Linked DNA regions of Callithrix jacchus. The protein of the gene in region 5 purifies or fractionates together with the protein of the main gene of each other region. This does not show direct contact. Links are inferred from orthologs where the notes say so. Each region holds a gene or a part of one and is shown on either strand. Other genes may lie near its edges. The genes, in order: ANAPC4, CDC27, NEK2, ANAPC7 and CDC26.

The links.
Region 1: the proteins of CDC26 (region 5) and ANAPC4 purify together in Homo sapiens (affinity purification with mass spectrometry; 11 studies listed by BioGRID and IntAct, with this or other methods). This does not show direct contact. The link is inferred for Callithrix jacchus from reciprocal best matches to the Homo sapiens genes CDC26 and ANAPC4.
Region 2: the proteins of CDC26 (region 5) and CDC27 purify together in Homo sapiens (affinity purification with mass spectrometry; 12 studies listed by BioGRID and IntAct, with this or other methods). This does not show direct contact. The link is inferred for Callithrix jacchus from reciprocal best matches to the Homo sapiens genes CDC26 and CDC27.
Region 3: the proteins of CDC26 (region 5) and NEK2 purify together in Homo sapiens (affinity purification with mass spectrometry; 3 studies listed by BioGRID and IntAct, with this or other methods). This does not show direct contact. The link is inferred for Callithrix jacchus from reciprocal best matches to the Homo sapiens genes CDC26 and NEK2.
Region 4: the proteins of CDC26 (region 5) and ANAPC7 purify together in Homo sapiens (affinity purification with mass spectrometry; 5 studies listed by BioGRID and IntAct, with this or other methods). This does not show direct contact. The link is inferred for Callithrix jacchus from reciprocal best matches to the Homo sapiens genes CDC26 and ANAPC7.

Annotation. Positions count from the first base shown.
Region 1 is NC_133504.1:168,448,725-168,452,240, reverse strand, and holds part of ANAPC4 (anaphase-promoting complex subunit 4), read left to right. Parts: intron 1-442; coding exon 443-526; intron 527-1,901; coding exon 1,902-1,988; intron 1,989-2,436; coding exon 2,437-2,501; intron 2,502-2,817; coding exon 2,818-2,860; intron 2,861-2,974; coding exon 2,975-3,051; intron 3,052-3,516. UniProt on the Homo sapiens protein: Component of the anaphase promoting complex/cyclosome (APC/C), a cell cycle-regulated E3 ubiquitin ligase that controls progression through mitosis and the G1 phase of the cell cycle.
Region 2 is NC_133506.1:87,066,318-87,070,612, forward strand, and holds the start of CDC27 (cell division cycle protein 27 homolog), read right to left. Parts: upstream 2,809-4,295; 5' UTR 2,686-2,808; coding exon 2,659-2,685; intron 2,158-2,658; exon of another isoform or gene 2,070-2,157; intron 1-2,069. UniProt on the Homo sapiens protein: Component of the anaphase promoting complex/cyclosome (APC/C), a cell cycle-regulated E3 ubiquitin ligase that controls progression through mitosis and the G1 phase of the cell cycle.
Region 3 is NC_133520.1:16,821,168-16,824,683, reverse strand, and holds part of NEK2 (serine/threonine-protein kinase Nek2), read left to right. Parts: intron 1-1,328; coding exon 1,329-1,411; intron 1,412-2,205; coding exon 2,206-2,332; intron 2,333-3,261; coding exon 3,262-3,481; intron 3,482-3,516. UniProt on the Homo sapiens protein: Protein kinase which is involved in the control of centrosome separation and bipolar spindle formation in mitotic cells and chromatin condensation in meiotic cells.
Region 4 is NC_133510.1:113,283,892-113,286,705, reverse strand, and holds the end of ANAPC7 (anaphase-promoting complex subunit 7), read left to right. Parts: intron 1-1,439; coding exon 1,440-1,629; 3' UTR 1,630-2,299; downstream 2,300-2,814. UniProt on the Homo sapiens protein: Component of the anaphase promoting complex/cyclosome (APC/C), a cell cycle-regulated E3 ubiquitin ligase that controls progression through mitosis and the G1 phase of the cell cycle.
Region 5 is NC_133502.1:161,586,202-161,590,346, forward strand, and holds the start of CDC26 (anaphase-promoting complex subunit CDC26), read right to left. Parts: upstream 2,803-4,145; 5' UTR 2,774-2,802; exon of another isoform or gene 2,332-2,773; intron 740-2,331; 5' UTR 683-739; coding exon 630-682; intron 1-629. Other genes in the region: PRPF4 (U4/U6 small nuclear ribonucleoprotein Prp4), read left to right, coding at 3,130-3,156, 3,931-4,111. UniProt on the Homo sapiens protein: Component of the anaphase promoting complex/cyclosome (APC/C), a cell cycle-regulated E3 ubiquitin ligase that controls progression through mitosis and the G1 phase of the cell cycle.

The DNA.
Region 1 (3,516 bases), on a different chromosome or scaffold from region 5:
GGGGTTCTAATAAAATGATTCACTACTGCGAAGTTTATAACAGATAATTTTTAATGACAAATTTGTTATAATTCATATATCATTGAGAGATATTTTCCCAATATTTATAAGTAGCCTTTAATTCCTTCTATTTCCCTTAAGTTTTTGCATATATTTGTGATTTAAAAATTTCTTTGTAACACCGTTGCAAAATAGATTATATTACATTTATTCTGTCTACACAGAAGGGGTTGGTGACCCAGAGAGAGTGATTTGCGTATGGTTATGCATAGGTTAGGTGATCCTAAGGCTGTGTGCTGTTAGTTTCCAAACCATTAATGCTCAAAGAGGGCAGAATTCTGACATAGTCTTTGTGATACGTAGTTTAACCTACACTCTTAAATTGCAGGCTTTGCCGCAAGTGTGTCTGATGGTGACTCACTTTACTCTTTTGATTTTACAGCTTGAAACCAATCTGTTGTACTCTTTCTTACCTGAAGTAACTCGGATGGCCAGAAAGTTTACTCACATTTCAGCTCTTTTACAGGTATTTATCTAGAGCTTGTTTTATGTGAATATTTATTGGCTTCTAAAGTTCTATAAGTAAAAAACTTCAAAATGTTGTTTTGTAAAGCTGTCTGAAGTAGGGGCATCTAGTCTGATAGATAATCTTATAAGGTCCATTAAAGCAGGGAAAGAACATTTAATTTAGAATCTACATCTACCACACCCTATTTTCCACCTCTAAAATAAAAGGAAAAAATAGTTTAAATCTTTAAAATAGTCCCATAAATAAAATACCATCGGTAATATAAAGTATTGTAGGAAAAACAGTCTTCACCTGAGTTTACATTTGTTTATAATAAACCCACCCCAAATTAGCTCCCAGTTCTCTAGGTTGGTGATTTAGGCTAGGCTTAGCCAAGAGGTTGGGTGACTAGACTTGGTCATGCCAGCTGATATGTGTTCCTTGGCTGTGATGGCCTTGTCTCTATTCCACATCCTTCATACTCCAGCAGGCCAGCACAGGCTTGTCCACATGGTGGTGGTAATGGGGCATTGAGGGTGCAAGTGGAAGCATACAAAGACTGTTGAGGCCCTGGAGTCAACAGCATTATTTCTGCTGCATTTTGTTTGTCAAAGTGAGACTCAAAGGCTGAAGAAATTAACACTACATCTGACTGAAGGAGCTACAAAAAATTGTGACCATATTTTTTCATTCTATCACAGTCATTAATTTATTTGATAATAAAGGTTTCTAGAGATCAGTATCTTTTTAAGGATCCTATTTGAAAATTGAATAGTTAGTTGACCAAACCAGCATTTTGACAGTTAGTGTACATAAGACAAGTCTTCTATAAAAAGCTTGGGGATATTTGTTTTACCAGATAAAAACTTAATTTAACAATGTTTTATTATGAAATTCTAAGAATCAGTGGAATGTTTCATTATTAAGTGATGAGCAAGCTATAGTCTTTTTCTCCCTCTTAACTGAGTTAAAAGAGTGATTGAGACTGGGCAGGGTGGCACATATCTGTAATCCCAGCACTTTGGGAGGCTCAGGTAGGCAGTTCGCTTGAGGCCAAGAGTTTGAGACCAGCCTAGCCAACATGGTGAAGCCCCGTCTCTACTAAAAATACAAAAATTAACTCAGCATGGTGATGCATGCCTGTAATGCCAGCTACTCGCAAGTCTGAGGCAGCTTGAACCCGGCATGTAGAAGTTGCAGTGAGCTGAGATGGTGCCACTGCACTCCAGCCAAGACAACAGAGCAAGACTCTGTCTCAATAAATAAATAAATACAAGTAAAGGAGTGATTGAAAATAAATTCATTGAGACACTTGATCATAAGCACATATTTAGATAGCAAGTTGGTTTAAATATTTTTTGTCATTTCAATTTTTTTTCTTTTTTGCTAATAGTATATAAATTTGTCACTAACATGTATGTGTGAAGCATGGGAAGAAATACTAATGCAGATGGATTCTCGTCTCACCAAGTTTGTACAGGTAAAGCACATGAAGTTTCTCATGGAGAGAGTTAAGGAATGCTTGATGTATGTATTTACTTTGAGGTACATGAGAAAAATCAGTTGGATGCATACAAAAAATACAAAAATTAGCTTGGCGTGGCTAATTGTGATTAAGATTGTGATTTTTTTCAAATGGCTTAGTCTAACTTCAAACTGTTTTCTCAGATTTCCAAAAAGGGCTCTTTTCCTATTGGTACAGCTTAGGTGGAGACAGGATTGTGAAGTGGAGCTGGTGGGGCTTGGGCAATAAGGGCAGATGTTAGAACAGCTGACTGGCTGTCTTCTAGTCACTCATGTTTGATGATCACTTTATGGATTGGATGGAAGTTTAAGGCAAGGAAAGGGAGTCATGTTCCTGTAATTTTGAATAAATATGCTTATAATTTAGTAAATATATCACAATTTTTTTTCTTTCTCTTTTTTAGGAAAAGAACACAACCACATCAGTGCAAGATGAGTTCATGCACTTGCTGTTATGGGGAAAAGCAAGGTAATAAACTCAGATTAGGTGCTCCTGCTTTTGCTTCTTTTTTTAACAGTAATTATTTATTTGAAAAGTAGTTTTATTTGAAAAGTAGTTTATAGTCATATGAATTTTTTATTGATACATAGTGTTTTTAATTGATACATGTTTTGCATATTTATGGGGTATATGTGATGTTACATTCATACAATTTAATTTTTGTTGAGCTGTTTCTTTATTTTGTTTCAAAGTCTTGTTTGTGCTTTGAAATTTGAAAGTTCTAAGTGATGCATTCAGATTTCCAATAGAGAAGTGACTAAAAATACTTTGTTTTTCATTGTAGTGCTGAACTTCAGACTCTCCTGATGAATCAGTTAACAGTAAAGGTGCAGTTAATGTATCTATGTGTTAAAATGGCTATGAACATATTCTTAATTTTTTTTTTGAGTGGCATATAATATCCTAATTGTATGCTAAATATATTTTCTTCTTTCAATTAGGGCTTAAAAAAGCTTGGCCAGTCTATAGAGTCATCATATTCCAGTATACAAAAATTGGTCATAAGTCACTTACAGAGGTATGAAGATGAAATAGAATCTTTTGGTATTGTATCCACACATACCTGGCATTGGCCTTCTTTCTGCCGCCTTCTCTTCATCTGGCATTCTCTTTTTAAACCTTTTCTAGCTAAAATTGTTGCATGGCATTTGAGAAGAATCTTCGTGTACTCAAGACTGAAAGAGTCAATAATAATTCTGCTTTATGAAGTAATTCTCCAGCATCTTTTCACCAGGCTAGACTCTATCTGGGGTTTTTTCTTAATCACCTAAGCATGGAAGTATATTTTGAAATAAGGCATGTATCCCTTTTTTCAGCAGTGAGATTAACATTTTACAGTTTACCAAGATTATTGTGTTTATTTAGTATCTTAGCAAGGTGTTGGTCATTTCAATCTTTAACTTAAAAGGTTAATGCTGGGTAGGTTTACAGTGACACAAGAGGAAACAAAAGTTCAGAATCGGTTATATGGCTGGCCCAAAGT
Region 2 (4,295 bases), on a different chromosome or scaffold from region 5:
TATTACATAATTCCTCTGCTCAAAAACTCTTCTGCTCATTTAATAGTTATTCATTACCAATGTACATTAAATCTAAATTTTTCATTCAAAGATCCATACCCTTTGAATCCATGTTAGATGTTGTCCCTCAACATTTTACCCCCAGCCAAAAGTACTCCTTCACCATCTAATGATCTCTAAAGCAGTATCAAGTATGTAGTACCAATTGCTATATTGCTTATGAAACCAATTTTCAAAAAGCTTATTTACAACTTCATCCAACATCTCTGTGAAGTCTTACCCCTAGGAATAATTGCTAAATCTATATAAAATCTCTTTGCTTCTTTTTTAAATACCAATTTCATCAGGTGACTTTTATAAATACCCAAAAAGCTCTCACTGAAGTCACTTAGGCTAGTGTGTCTTTCCAAATAGTTACCATTAAAAATAAAAGATCTGACAGAACTTCTGCCTCATATGTGAGATTTTTGTAAGGACTCAAATATAAGTAATACTCTTCTGAGAGGTAGTAACTTGAGACAGAATTTTAATTTAGGCATATATGGTATATCAGGCTGGCCATTCTATGTTAAAACTTTAAAGAAAAAAATGCAAAAAATAGTTGTTCATCTTTTCTGTCAACTTTTTCCTATGCCTAGTAATACCATCAACTCTGAGACATTCCAAGAAAGAAAACAATTTTCCAACTCATTCTCATTGCTTTCCAAATGCATGTAATCTGTCGTTACAGTTTTTTTTAAGACAGTATGTTTATATCTGTCCTATTTTTATTCTCTTCTTTACTAATTCTTTCCCATCTGCAACACTATCCTTGATCATTGATCTTTATCATTGTAGTCAAAGTTGCCAGTTCTTCTCACTGCTCCAAATCATCCCTTCTTGAATGGCTTCTTCTTATACTATACAACCAAAAATCTCACCTAGTCATATCCTATAACTTTCTACCGCTATCTCAAAAATCTAGTGAACAATGCTACTGTGAAAAACAGGCAAATCTGACCTTTAAGCCTTAAAAATACCCAAGTGTGTAATTACTAACAAAAGTACTTTAAGTACAAACAAGAAACCTGATGGGTACTATCTAGAAATAGGCTACATATTTCTTTTCTTTTCCATGCTTTTATAACGTCTGAAATTATTATTAAATGGTGGTTATAGACTGTCACTGCAACTAGTTTATCACTTCAGAAGACTTCTGGAGCCAGAGAAAGCAAAAAAAAAAAAATTATTAAAACAAAATTACAAGGATATGCAACAGAAATTAAACAACTTGAGTAATCTGCTTATCTATTTAAGCTCATGCTAGGCCTAAAAAAACTGTGTATATATAATTATCTTATCTATAGCCATAGAATAAAAAAATTTTTTAAAGAAACGCTATACTGTTAAGAAGAATTTGGATGAAAATAGCTCTAGAAGAACTGATACAACTTACAGACAGGTAAATTTCATAAGGTATAATCTTAGGTTTTATGAATTCAAACACTAATAGCTGCTATCTGTAAACAGCTGGAGAAGAAGCCAAACTAGAAGAAATGAGTATTTCATGCTGTGAAGAAAAATTAAACAAACAGGAAAGTAGTGGTATGTTAAAATATTTACTATTTGATATCTCAAGCCTTTTAAGGGCAATATGAAGGAATTTATAAAAATTGGTTTGCTTTGTAACTTCAAAATTAAGTCCATGACTCAATGACAGCAGTTGATATAGGTCAATTCTGATCGAGTCAAACATCATATGGTAGGATGAAGTCTCCCAGACCTGGTCCATCCCCAAGGCACAAAAGATTCAGTTTCTCCAGCTGTGGGGGGGCCCGGGGAGGGGGAATGACTTGGCACCGCATCACATACTTAAAATCCAATAGGGTTTCGTTAATGTAACACGGCACTGTGCGTCAAAGCATATCTTGGTGTAAGGGCGGTGAAATGGACAGAAAAAACATTATTTGTCTTTCATTTCCTGAATGCCTTATAAACATGCACAACAAAATGCTCCTGATCCCCTTCACCGAGGATGAAAACAACCCAGATGTGCCCTTTCCACCCGCTCCCCTGGTATAGGTGCTTGCACCTCAGCACTGAGGCTTGGAGTTGTCTTCTCAAATCATCATTGTCCGGTGGGAAATTCCCCGAGAAAGGCAACGTGGGCTAGGAAGTCTGTTACCAAAATAGAAATTAGTATTAAAAAGACCGATCCTACTCTCCCCTCCACCCTCTCACATAAGACAAAAACAAAAATAAAACCCCCGCAAACTTGCCCTACCATCGCTAACATCATACAAGCTCTGATCAAATGTGCTTCTCGATCATCTTTGAGGCAAGAGAGCGTCCGCGGTGCGTTTTCGGACCCTCATCTCCCACCCCAGGTCAAGCCAGGCCCCTGGACTGACAGGAAGGGCTGGCCGGACGTTGGCTTGGACCGGAATGGCGGTTATGCTCAACGAAACCGCTCACACTAAGGGTGAAAGTAACGAAGGGCCCGAGGTAACATGGCTTAGGTTGCGGGCAAGGCCTCCGAACTAAAGATAGGCAGGACTCGGAGGCAGTAGAGGCGGGAGAAGCAGCCCGGCCTAGGCCGCACCAGGCCGCGGAGTGGCCCTACGCTGCTTCCCCGACCAAGGCTGTGAGCCAGGCCTCAGAGAAGAGAGTTATCATTACCTGGACGGGTTCCTGCAGCACCGTCATCCTCGAGGATCACTTTCTGCAGTGCCTCAAGCCCCCCCGGTAGCGGCTCCGGCCCGGCCAGCCCCGGCTCATTTAAACTCACCAGCGACCGTTACCGGGGGATTGGGGAGGCCGAGCGTTGCCGAGCGCCTCCGAGCGGGACACGGAAATACCCGAAGTGGAGAAAGCCGAGCGGAAACGAGACGGAAAGGCCCGAAGTATGTCGGAAATACCCGAGGTGGGTCGACGAGGAAAAACCGTTGCCGGAAATTGTCGAGGATTACCGGAAACTACCGAGTCTGACCCTGAGCGTAAGTTCCTCTTCTCGGCCACGCCTTCAGCCACGCATACCACGCCCAATCGGCCGTCCTAGGGCTGGGCCACGCCCAAGCAGCAACCAGCAGGCTGGGCGTGGCGTGACGGAACTGGCGAGGAGCGTTACGTGGCGGGGCTGCAGTGTGGAGTCGCCACTCGGCCCTCCTGGATTTATTGGTGTGCAGTAGATTATAATATAGTAAAGGGTAAAACAGCAGAGTTTGGGGCTGACTATAATAAATCAACAAGTATTTGTCTATTGAGTTTAGATTATTCGTCCATTCCAAAAGTATCTACTCACGGCTCGGGGAAATCTAAAGAAATTTGGAAAGATTGCCACTCCCCAAAGATAAAGGATAGCTTGTCTTCAAGGAGAGTAAGGCCTATTTAAGGGAAAAGCAGTGGAACAGAGAACGCTATGTTACGTGGTGCCTATTATAAGTAATACACAAATTCAGAGAGGGAAATTGTGTTAAACTGAGGAAAGTTTTATGGAAGGGAAAAAAAGTTTAAATTGGAGTTTGAAGGATGGATAGAATTAGAGGAAAAGGAACTATAGGATTAAGTGGAGGGAAGAAAAATGAGATCAGTCTGCTAAGAAGGCATTAATTGGAAGTACTTAGGTGGAGAGATCATGGAAACGCTCAATAAGCCGTTAGAAAAAAAATTTTTTTTTTTTGAGATGGAGTTTCGCTCTTGCTACCCAGGCTGGAGTGCAATGGCGCGATCTCGGCTCACCGCAACCTCCACCTCCTGGGTTCACGCAATTCTCCTGCCTCAGCCTCCTGAGTAGCTGGGATTACAGGCACGCGCCACCATGCCCAGCTAATTTTTTGTATTTTTAGTGTAGACGGGGTTTCACCATGTTGACCAGGATGGTCTCGATTTCTTGACCTCGTGATCCACCTGCCTCGGCCTCCCAAAGTGCTGGGATTACAGGCGTGAGCCACCGCGCCCGGCCAGAAATTTTTGTTTTTGATAGGAGAGGCATTCCGCTGTGGTAGAAACAGTAGGGGATCTGAAATTCAGAGGCCTGGTTTTGAATTTTAGTTTTAGCACTGACAAGTCATAGGTCCTTAGGCAAATTATAACCTCTCTGAAATTCTTCTGTTCGCTTAGTTTGAAAAAAAAAAAAAAAGGATTAAGAGACTTCGATGTATCACCAATGTGGCTCTGTCTAGCACGCACTGTAGACTCTCATACCTTTCTGTCCCTCCTCTCCCCCCAAAAAAGTGAACCAGGGAACTGTTGAAATTTTGTTTTTCAGCAGATAAGGAAAACAGGTTTAAAAGTTTACTAGTCAGGAGTTCTCTAAG
Region 3 (3,516 bases), on a different chromosome or scaffold from region 5:
TGTTTCAATGTTATACTTTTGATTTGGGACTTTGCATTTTAACAGACTCTAAATAATTCTTGTGCATGCAGATTCGGAGCTCAGAAAGTTTGCTCACTTCAGATAACATGTTTTTACAGTGTTAACTTTTTGTACATGTTATTTTTTGTTGTCTTTTCCTGAAATACCTTGCTGAGTCCACTCACCCTTTACCTATATTGCTGGAGATTTTGTTTCCAAAATATTTCACCATTTGTATGAATTATTCTTTCTTCCCTTTTGGTTATTTCCTTGGAGTGTAGCTCATAAAATTAAATTGCTGGGGTAAAAGGTATAAACAGTTTATGGCTGTTGTTAGATATTGCCTGATGGCTTTTAAATGTTTAAGTCAATTGGGATAGCACTAATATGTTACTATATGACATCTGAACAGATAAAGATGAAGAAATATTTATTAGCATTTTAGTAGTTCACCTTTCTAAGATTTTCCAAATCTTTAGAAATTATGTTAACAGAGCTGACTATAGTATAAAACTTTGTAAATTAATGATTTTTGTTTTGATTAAGATTAAAATGGCCAGAACAGTACCATTTTCTCACTGTATCAAATTTCAAATAGAACACTTTTAACATAAAAGATAATTATCCAGAAGTGGTTCTTGGAAAATTTGAAACCTATTCTTTTGTTCCTTTTCCCTCCTGCCCTTGTAATTAGAGTGGTTCAGACTAAGGCCCTGATTGTCAAAAGGTGGCATCAGATTGACCAGTTGGACTTGAAAACACTAATCAGCCTCCTAGAGATTTGGGTGGTGCTTGCTTCTGTTCCCGCTATTGAGAATAAGAGCTCTGGTAGACTGTTGTTACTGTAGATGTGGAAGAAGGGCAAACATTAAAATAGGTAATGATAATATTAGTTACTTCTATGATTTGTGCAGTGGACTAAGAAAAAATATAAATGGATAATTCCATTAGCTATGTGTAGATCCATTGAAATGTGGACTAGATACGTATTTTGATTATTCTTAAATGTTCTCTAGTTCTTTTAAAATGGTGTTTCTTGATTTGCCTTGAGAGTGGAAGTCTCTCATATTCACCTCTGAACTGTCAGTGTTTAGTTTATACTAAGCACTTTTATTTGTGAATGAAAAATGAGTGAATGAACTATATATGACAGATTGTAGTGGAACAAGATCAATGCCTTTTTTCCATTATAAATTTGAAGATAAAGTGTAGGCTAAAAACTTTGAGGTTCTGTTTTTATCTCAGGAGTAATTTAATATGTTTCATAAGTTTCAAAACAAGATAAACTCTTAACACCTTCCACTTTCTTGCCCTTTTTTCCTGTATAGGAACAAATGAATCGCATGTCCTACAATGAGAAATCAGATATCTGGTCTTTGGGCTGTTTGCTGTATGAGTTATGTGCATTAATGTAAGTATGATGAAGACAAATTCCTAGTCTAAGGTTTGTACCATTTGTCACCTTTCACTGGGTTCAGTTTTTTGAACATGCATGCTAATGAAAGCATATTCAAGTCTGAAAGAATTGTACGTTGGGTAAAATTAAGGTAGATGGACAAGTTGAAAGAAACTATTCATAAATTAAAACTATTAGCCATGAGGCTGGGTCCTGACTGTTGAAGTGTCTTGGCTGGTTAGGTGCTTCCCTGTTAGACTGACACTTAGCTTAAGGGGGAGAGCACATAGGTCAGGCAGGTAAGGTAAAGCCACTGTAAGGATATGGAAGAAATGATATAAGCCTCAGGTAGAGGTCTGGGGATCTGTAGAGCAGGGAAGAGCTCCAATTATTTCCCTTTTTTCTTCTTTTCATTTTTTTCCCTTTGAAACTATTCTGTAGAGCAGTGGTTCTCAACCAGGGATGAGGGAAGCAAATTTGCTTTTCATGGGGCATTTGACAATGTTTGGATACATTTTTAGTTATTACAACTGGTGAATGCCCCTGGCATCTAGAGGGTAGAGGGCAGGGGGGCTATAAAATACCCTACACTGCACAGGACAGCCCCCCACAACAAAGAATTATAGAACCTCAAATGTCAATAGTGCCAAGGTTGGGAAACTTACTTATAGAAGAAAATCCCAGAAATAGAAACTTAAATACAAACTAGAGGTGAAACTGTGCTTTTGATTTTGTTCCTGTTGTATATTTTCATTTTTACAATTTGAAAATGTCTTTGTCGTCTTTTTCTTCTTCTCTTTTAATCCTAGGCCTCCATTTACAGCTTTTAACCAGAAAGAACTCGCTGGGAAAATCAGAGAAGGCAAATTCAGGAGAATTCCATACCGTTACTCCGATGAATTGAATGACATTATTACGAGGATGTTAAACTTAAAGGTAAAGATGATAAGATGATATATTATCTGTTTCTAGCTGTCAGTTAAGTGTTGGAGCATACATTCTCTGTTATCGACCGGTGGAGACTGAAGAAACATTAAATATACTTTCTTAGCTAAATATACTGTGTTAACACAAGTGAAGACATATGTAAATTTGGTAAATTGTACATCCTTGCTGGCCCACCTTCTGCGCTTTATTTCTCCTCCCACTCTGCCATACTAACAGATGGTAGCAAGGAAAGATTGCAAAAAGAATTCAAATCCTCATTCCCCTTGTCTTTGCGTACCTCATAGTGGCACGTGGTGAGGGAAGGGGCCAGAAATAAGACCCTGCCTCTAGCTCTAATTGAGAGATTAGAGACCAGAAGAAAGGGAGGGGTGATGGAGGGTGGAGAGAGGACAGCTAAAAAGAGAAGAGGAAAAATCAAAGAGATTACATGGAAAAACTCTGGCTATAGATGGGGAGGGAGATGTTCTGGGGATCAGGCTGACATAAGAGAAGAAGGAAAATGCTGTAGGATCACAGATAAAGAAACAGATGAAGTGACAGGATTGAGAGAAAGAGAGTATCTTGCTAAATGTAGTTTAAAGATGCAAGGGCAGTACTTCCCCTAAAACAGACCCTAGCAATGCTATCAAGCAGCAGCACAAGATGTGCCAAAGTACTTCAGGGACTGAACCTTCTTAGAAAGGTGAAAAGGGGAAAGGGGACAAAGGTAAGTTAATATCTGCATTACCTTGTGGACCCAGAACCTCATGAGTTAAAACCATCATTAAACTTATTTTTTCAAGAGTGTAAGACCTATCCATAAAAGAGTGCTTTCTTTTGTCTTGGAAATACATTTATGTCCTTTCATTGTAACTGCTGTCTTAGGATGACTATTCTGTTATGCAATCTGACTATAACACTGAGTATTTTTCCCCCAGGATTACCATCGACCTTCTGTTGAAGAAATTCTCGAGAACGCTTTAATAGCAGATTTGGTGGCAGACGAGCAAAGAAGAAATCTTGAGAGAAGAGGGAGACAATTAGGAGAGCCAGAGAAATTGCAGGATTCCAGCCCTGTATTGAGTGAGCTGAAATTAAAGGAAATTCAGTTACAGGAGCGAGAGCGAGCTCTCAGAGCCAGAGAAGAAAGATTGGAGCGTAAGTCTGAATGGGGGTCAAAGCAAAGCGGAACT
Region 4 (2,814 bases), on a different chromosome or scaffold from region 5:
TTGTACCTAGTATATATTTTATATTCTTCTTTTTCAAATCAAAGTATTGTAAGTACTTTCCCATGTTTCTATCTACTGTAGTAGTTAAGAACTTGAGGTCTGAAGTTTTGAATACTACTTTCACCACCTGTGATCTTGGGCAAGTTACTAACACATTTCCTTGTCTATATCTATCTACCTATTAGACATTAAATGATTGAATGAGGGTTAAATGATTATAACATGTAAGCTCTTAGCCCTGTGCCTGGTACATAGTAAATACTAAATAAATAGTGGTCTTCTTACTGTTTAATACAGAAGTGGTTTATTTGAGGGTTGTCCGTGTGTGTGTAAGATTATATGGTGAGGGGCTGTCTTTAATAGAGTCTGATCACATTCAGTTGTTCAGCACACAGTTGAGCACCACTTGTGTGCTTATCATCTCAGTGACCATTGGAGATGATATGTTTTGGGAGCTGTCAGTCTTAGACATGCAGACTGACCATACCACATGCTAAGGGCTTTCATAGCAGTCTGTAGAAGGGAAGGTGTGAGTCCAGAGGGCAGGAGCCCTGGGTATGGGTGAGAGCTTCAGAGTATGGGTGTGGAAGGGTTCAGCAACTAGGAGACCAGGAGATATTACAGATCGGTCCGCATTTACATTGTTAGAAACAGAATGCCAATGTGGGTTTTGGCTGCTTTTTAGAAGCCCAGAAGCAAGAGAGAAAAAAAAAATACTAGACTTTTATTAGAGATGGAGTTTACTAGGCGTGGGACACCTGCTGGCTTGGGTGATGGTCACCAAGGCAAGATGAAAGATTGCTTAGGAGGCAAACAAATGAATGTTCTAGAGGCTCTGAACTCTGGGGATGGGGGTGGCACATTTACTGACTCCCAGCTACTAAATGTGAATGCTCGGGTAAGGGTAGCCTTGGGTCCTGGGGTCTAACCTAGGTGTTTACAAATCTGTTCCATGGTACAGCATGATGTTTTTGGTTGGCTCCTGAAATGCTGATATATTTAATTACATCATAAGAACATGGAACACCTCTACTCAGAGAAATTCCTATTTTTTTTTGTAACCCCATAGCTCAAAAACCCAACTTTCTGGGAATTACGTTTGAATTTACCTGTTAATGTTTGTTTACCACTTTTTCATTTGTGTTATCTAGTAGCCACTAGCAGAATGCTAGGGGTAATAGGAATGAAAAAATTTAAGAAATTTGTAGAGAAAAACTCAAATTGAGAACTCTAAAAATTAGGAAAAGACTCCTTTTTGCCCTTCTCATGGTGGACTCCATCAACCCAGCCTCGGAAGCCTGAGTTGTTTGGAGAGGCCAGGCTTTAGCACTTTCTCTGGGACTGTGTGGTCATTTCACTGCTGGGCCAGGGAGATGACGAATCAGCCAGCAAGAGCAAGGCAGAGATTCAGGCCTCTCCTTTGTTTTGTTGTCCCCTAGTTTGGACCCCAATGACCAGAAGTCTCTAGAGGGGATGCAGAAGATGGAGAAGGAGGAGAGTCCCACGGATGCCACTCAGGAGGAGGATGTGGACGACATGGAAGGGAGTGGGGAAGAAGGGGACCTGGAGGGCAGCGACAGTGAGGCGGCCCAGTGGGCTGACCAGGAGCAGTGGTTCGGCATGCAGTGAGGGGGCGGCAGCTCCATGGCCGCACTGGCCTGCCCTGCTCTGAGCACTTCCGTGGACTGAAGGAACCGTAGGAGCCTGCTCTCAGGAGGACAATGATTCAGCATGTGATTGCAGCAGGGGTCTCTGCCCCCTTGCTCCTGATTCCTAGATGTGACTTCATTTCTAAAACAGAGCCTGACCAACCTTCCATGTATCTCCATCCTCCCCTGCTCCAGCCAGGGAGGACTGAGGGAGTGCCCTGAGACCCACACACATGTTGGGGCTTCTGGGCCAAGAGTACTTTTTATATAACTAATTTCTAAATCCAAAAGCTCAAGGAATAGACAGTGTTCTGTCAGTGATGTGGATGGGTTTGAAGGAGTGACCCACCATCCCAGCACGATAGTGTCACCTCCTAAGTTGGATGGCAGCACGATCTGGCCCTAGAGGGCTTCCCGTTCCCAGAAGTCATTGTCCTGGGCTATCCAGACATCCCTAGTAATCTTGCTTCCTTCTGCAATGTTAGTAATGCCTTAAGCTGACAGTTGCTATTTTGCAGAACAGTTTTCCTCTTTGCTTAGCTGGTAACTTGCCTCTCTGAGCCTGGGCTGATTTGAGAAACAGGTGTGATGAGAGCATGAACAGAGGTTCACCTGGGGCAGTTCCCTAATAAAACTGGTTTGTATAGTCATGGTGTTGGGTGATCAGAATGGAAGCTCTTTTTAAAATAGACTTAGTTTTTTTGTCTCTTATTCAGAATGCATTGATTTAGCCCCAGAAGTATTTGCCAAAAATAGACTTTTTTCCCCTAGTGTTGGGAGCCAGGAGGGTTGGAAAGCTCAGGAATCCTGAGCTGGTTCATCTGTTGCATATTGGGTAGGTAAGTTTCCCTGGAGCCTGAGATTTGGCCGGATTTCAGCTAAGTCTGCCTGGCTCTTCTGCTGCAGCTGTGAGATTGAGGTCTGGTTCCAGCAGTCTGTCACTGGTCAGCCTGAGTGTCACACCCTGAGCTCTGGGGCTGGGAGTTTCTTCCCCCACCCCCTCCCTTGTGTCTTAAGTTCCAGTGGCTCTGAGTATACAATTAATCAGAGGTGGGGGCTGGGTGTCACAGCTAATCCCAAATTCAAAAATTAGTCCAAGGTGCTACAAAATAATGAATTTGATGTCAATAGAAGAAGAATCCCAAAATGTAAAAACTTTAAGTGT
Region 5 (4,145 bases):
AGATAGGGTCTGCTCTAAGAAATAGTGTCTGCTCTTTGCCCAGGCTGGCGTGCAGTGGCATTACCTTAGCTCACTGCAGCTTCAACTTACTGCGCTCAAGCAATCTTACTGCGTCAGCCTCCTGAGTAGCTCGAACTCAGGTGTACACCACCACACTTGGCTAATTTTTGTGTTTTTTGTAGAAATGGGATTTCTCTCTGATGCCCAGGCTAGTCTCAAACTCTTGGGCTCAGGTGTTCCTCCCTCCTCATCCTCCCAAAGTGCTGGCATTACAGGCCAAAGCCACTGTGCCCAGTGACTTCTTAAGTCTTTAGGTATGTCATTATTACATTTTTAATACATGACGGAGATCCACAACTCTGAAAAATCCAAAAACTATTCTGTAAGAATTTAAAATAGCAAACTGCCTAAAAGAGAGAAATTCCAGGCAACCATCACTTTAATTTCATGTTCCAGTCACGTTCAAAGAAATATTCTAGCTAAAAGAATAAACTGTCACATCTTAACTTAGTATAGAGGGGAAAGTAGACAAACCGCTGAATTTAATCTACATGAGGACTGTCAGAGATTTGTGATCACTCCTGAATGCTAGAATCAGTTTGCTAAATCTCATGAAAACGCCAACTCACCAATTCACAAAATTATTCTCAGCGTTTAAACAGATCCTAAATGTGTCCGTCATTCATTAAACAAATACTTCTTGTGCTCCAGCTACAAAGTTAAAAGGTACAGTCATAATCTGTGGAGAAAACAAAGAGAAAGCTTTGATATTGCATAATGAGAACTCTGATGAGGGTAAGGCACTGGCATCACACGGGCACCTAATCCAGTCTGGGCTGAGTGTGGGGTGGACAAGGATGTCAGGCAAGCCTTCCTGGAGAAAATGATGTCTTAGCTGACTCACTCCCAAGAGCAGGCAGAGAGAAGAGTGCACAAAGGAGACTCAAGACCAGCTCTGGAAACCTAGCAAGACCCTGTCGCTACAAAAAAGTAAAAAAATTAGCTGGGCTGGTAGTGTGTGCCTGCAGTCTTAGCTACTCAGGAGGCTGAAGTGGAAGGATCCACCTGAGCCCAGGAGTTTGGGGTTGCCACAATGAGCCACGATCTCACCATGAGACCCCCAACTCAAAAACAAACAAAAAAAAAGAAGTAGAAAACAGGCTCAAGAGAGCATTCCACAGCCTGAAATCGCAAAGTAAATGTTAATAAAAACTGTTTTTGTTTTGTTTGTTTTTTGAGAAAACACAACTCCTCCAATTGAGTTTAATATTTGTTGATGACATCACTTGTATATTCTCCACAGCATCCCCTAAAATCCCCTAGAGTGTATCTATAAAAAACAGTCAGTAAGGGCCGGGCACGGTGCCTCACACCTGTAATCCCAGCACTTGGGAGGCCGAGGCGGGCAGATCAGGAGGTCAGGAGTTTGAGACCAGCCTGACCAACATGGTGAAACCCCGTCTCTACTAAAAATACAAAAATTAGCCAGATGTGGTAGCGGGCGCCTGTAATCCCAGCTACTCAGAAGGCTGAGGCAGGAGAATCGCTTGAACCCGGAAGGCGGACGTTGCAGTGAGCCGAGATCGTGCCACTGCACTCCAGCGTGGGTGACAGAGCAAGAGTCCGTCTCAAAAAACAAAAAACAAAAAAAATCTGCTATACATTTTACCTTTTCTGCAAACTGTGAAAAACTCTCCACTAGGAAGAAGTATAGAGTAACAGTTAATAGTGTGGCTGTAGAGGTTAATCCCACTACACCACTGATCTTGAATAATTAGTTTCATCTCTCACTAGACCTTAGTTTCCTCATCTGTATCTGACTCTGCTATTGTTGGTGAATAATATAATGCAGAGTAAAGAGTAAGCTCTTGGAACATAACTTGGCATTTTAAAAATGTGCAATAAATAAAATCTATTATTACTGTAATTTTTCTAGGGGGTTGGATGGGGATCTGGCCAGCTAGGGAAACCTCAATGTTTTGAGAATCATCCACCTCCCACGTGGAGATAAAAGCCTTATCCTGGCCGGGTGTGGTGGCTCGCTCCTGTAATCCCAGCACTTTGGGAGGCCGAGACGGGTGGATCGCGAGGTCAGGAGTTTAAGATCACTCTGGCCAAGATGGTGAAACTCCGTCTCTACTAAAAATACAAAAATTAGCCGGGCGCGGTGGCCGGTGGCGGTAATCCCACCTAATCGGGAGGCTGAGGCAGGAGAATCGCTTGACCCGGGGTCGGGGTGGACCGAAGGTTGCAGTGAGCCGAGATCGCGCCACTGCGCTCCCAGACTGAGCGACAGTAAGACTCCGTCTCAAAAGAAAAAAAAAAACTTACCTTGTTTGTCTCTAATTCCCCAGCATCCAGCAGGGCACAGGGACGTACAGAGCTATCTGACACCTTCCTATCCATCATCTTACTCTCAATCTGATACAACGACCGGCTCTAGACAAATCAACAAAGTCAGGCCGAAGCTCTTCCGCCGGGTCTTTATTTGACTTTGGCACTAGGGAGCTCTTCTAGCAGCCTAAATCCACCGCGGAGCCATCAAGCTCAGAGGGGGCCCCTAAGAAGACTTCCGGATTGTGGAGAAAAACAGCCCTTGTCCCCTAGCTCCAAGCCTGTACCTCGGATCCCTGGCGAGGATTTCCATGGTAACAAGGTCTTCAGCTCCAGGAAGACTTAAACGCTCCGGTAGGCCCGGGTGGCACGGCGGACCCCGGAAGTCCTCGACTCGCTCCAGAGTTCAGCCCCGAGCCGCGCGACGCAACGCACCTACCTCTTTTCAAGCCTGTTCAGCCCCTTCCCGGAACCTCCGCTCCCCCAGTGAAACTATTGGTAAGCCAACTGGACTACACTTCCCAGACTACTTGGAGCCTCTCTCTCAGCAGAATCTCGTCTTGCGCGAGCTTTCTCCGATGTTCTAGGAGGCATGCCCCTCAATACGATCACACCGCTTCCTACTACGACTTCCATCATGCTCCGCGCCGCTCCGGGCGCGGCTACGGCTCTCGGCACACGTCCGGTCGGTGACGCACTTCCGATCGGTGATGCTCATCCGCTCTGCTGGGCGCGCGGTGGACGATCTGAATCGGAGACCTCAGGTTTCGCTGTAGCTTTTCTCCAGAGCCCGGCATGGCTTCCTCGCGAGCTTCCTCCACGGTACAGAGCCCGGGATCTCAGCTCACTCTGGCAGGAAGCGCGAAGGGGGAAGGGGGTCCTTGCGGGAAGGGGCCGTTAGGGAACGGGAGAAGGCGGTGGAGGGCCGAGGAGGAAGGCTGTGGGACTCCGTGTCCTAGACAGCCGAGCACCGTTTTCCTGATCCCTAAGCGCTTTCGTGGACTATAGCTTATTTGCACCTCTCCGACTACATCCCTGAAGGGCAAACATCTCTTCGGACTGATCCAGTAACGGTGCTCTGAAATAGGGAAGTGTCTTGGCCAAGATTGATGCCTTTGGCAGATCTCAGAACTTTAATGAGACCTACTAACTCCTACTGCCTCAGGTCTAGAAACGTTTGAAATATATACGCTAGTAATCTTGTAACTTGTTCTTCTTTAGCACCGCGTTAGTTATTTCATCTATATTTGGTACTTCCCCAGTGATGAGCAGTAACCCTGGAAGCATCGTAAAACACGAGATTGCACACTTCCAACAGAATGAAGTAAACAGATTGCAGAGCAAACCCTTGATAGAAAAATACCCGAGAGAACCTCACTAGTTTTATCAATCCTGTCAACCAAAGTGAGGGACTGAAACACCCTCCCCCTACCCTCATCTCCTCAAATCAATGAAGAACATCTTAAGCAGTGTCCAATTTGTCCTTTCAATTACAGAGGAAGTAGGACTGTGAAACTCAGGGTGAGCTTCATCCTCTGGGGAAGTCCAGCAAATTGTTAAGATTAAGCGTTAGTTTAAGTCAGATTTTTGATTTAGCAGGCAACCAAAACTAAAGCACCTGATGACTTAGTTGCTCCGGTTGTGAAGAAGCCACATATCTATTATGGAAGTTTGGAAGAGAAGGAGAGGGAGCGTCTGGCCAAAGGAGAATCTGGGATTTTGGGGAAAGAAGGACTTAAAGCAGGAATCGAAGCTGGAAATATTAATATAACCTCTGGTAAGATGCAAGTTGTGAGTTCATCTTTACCTCT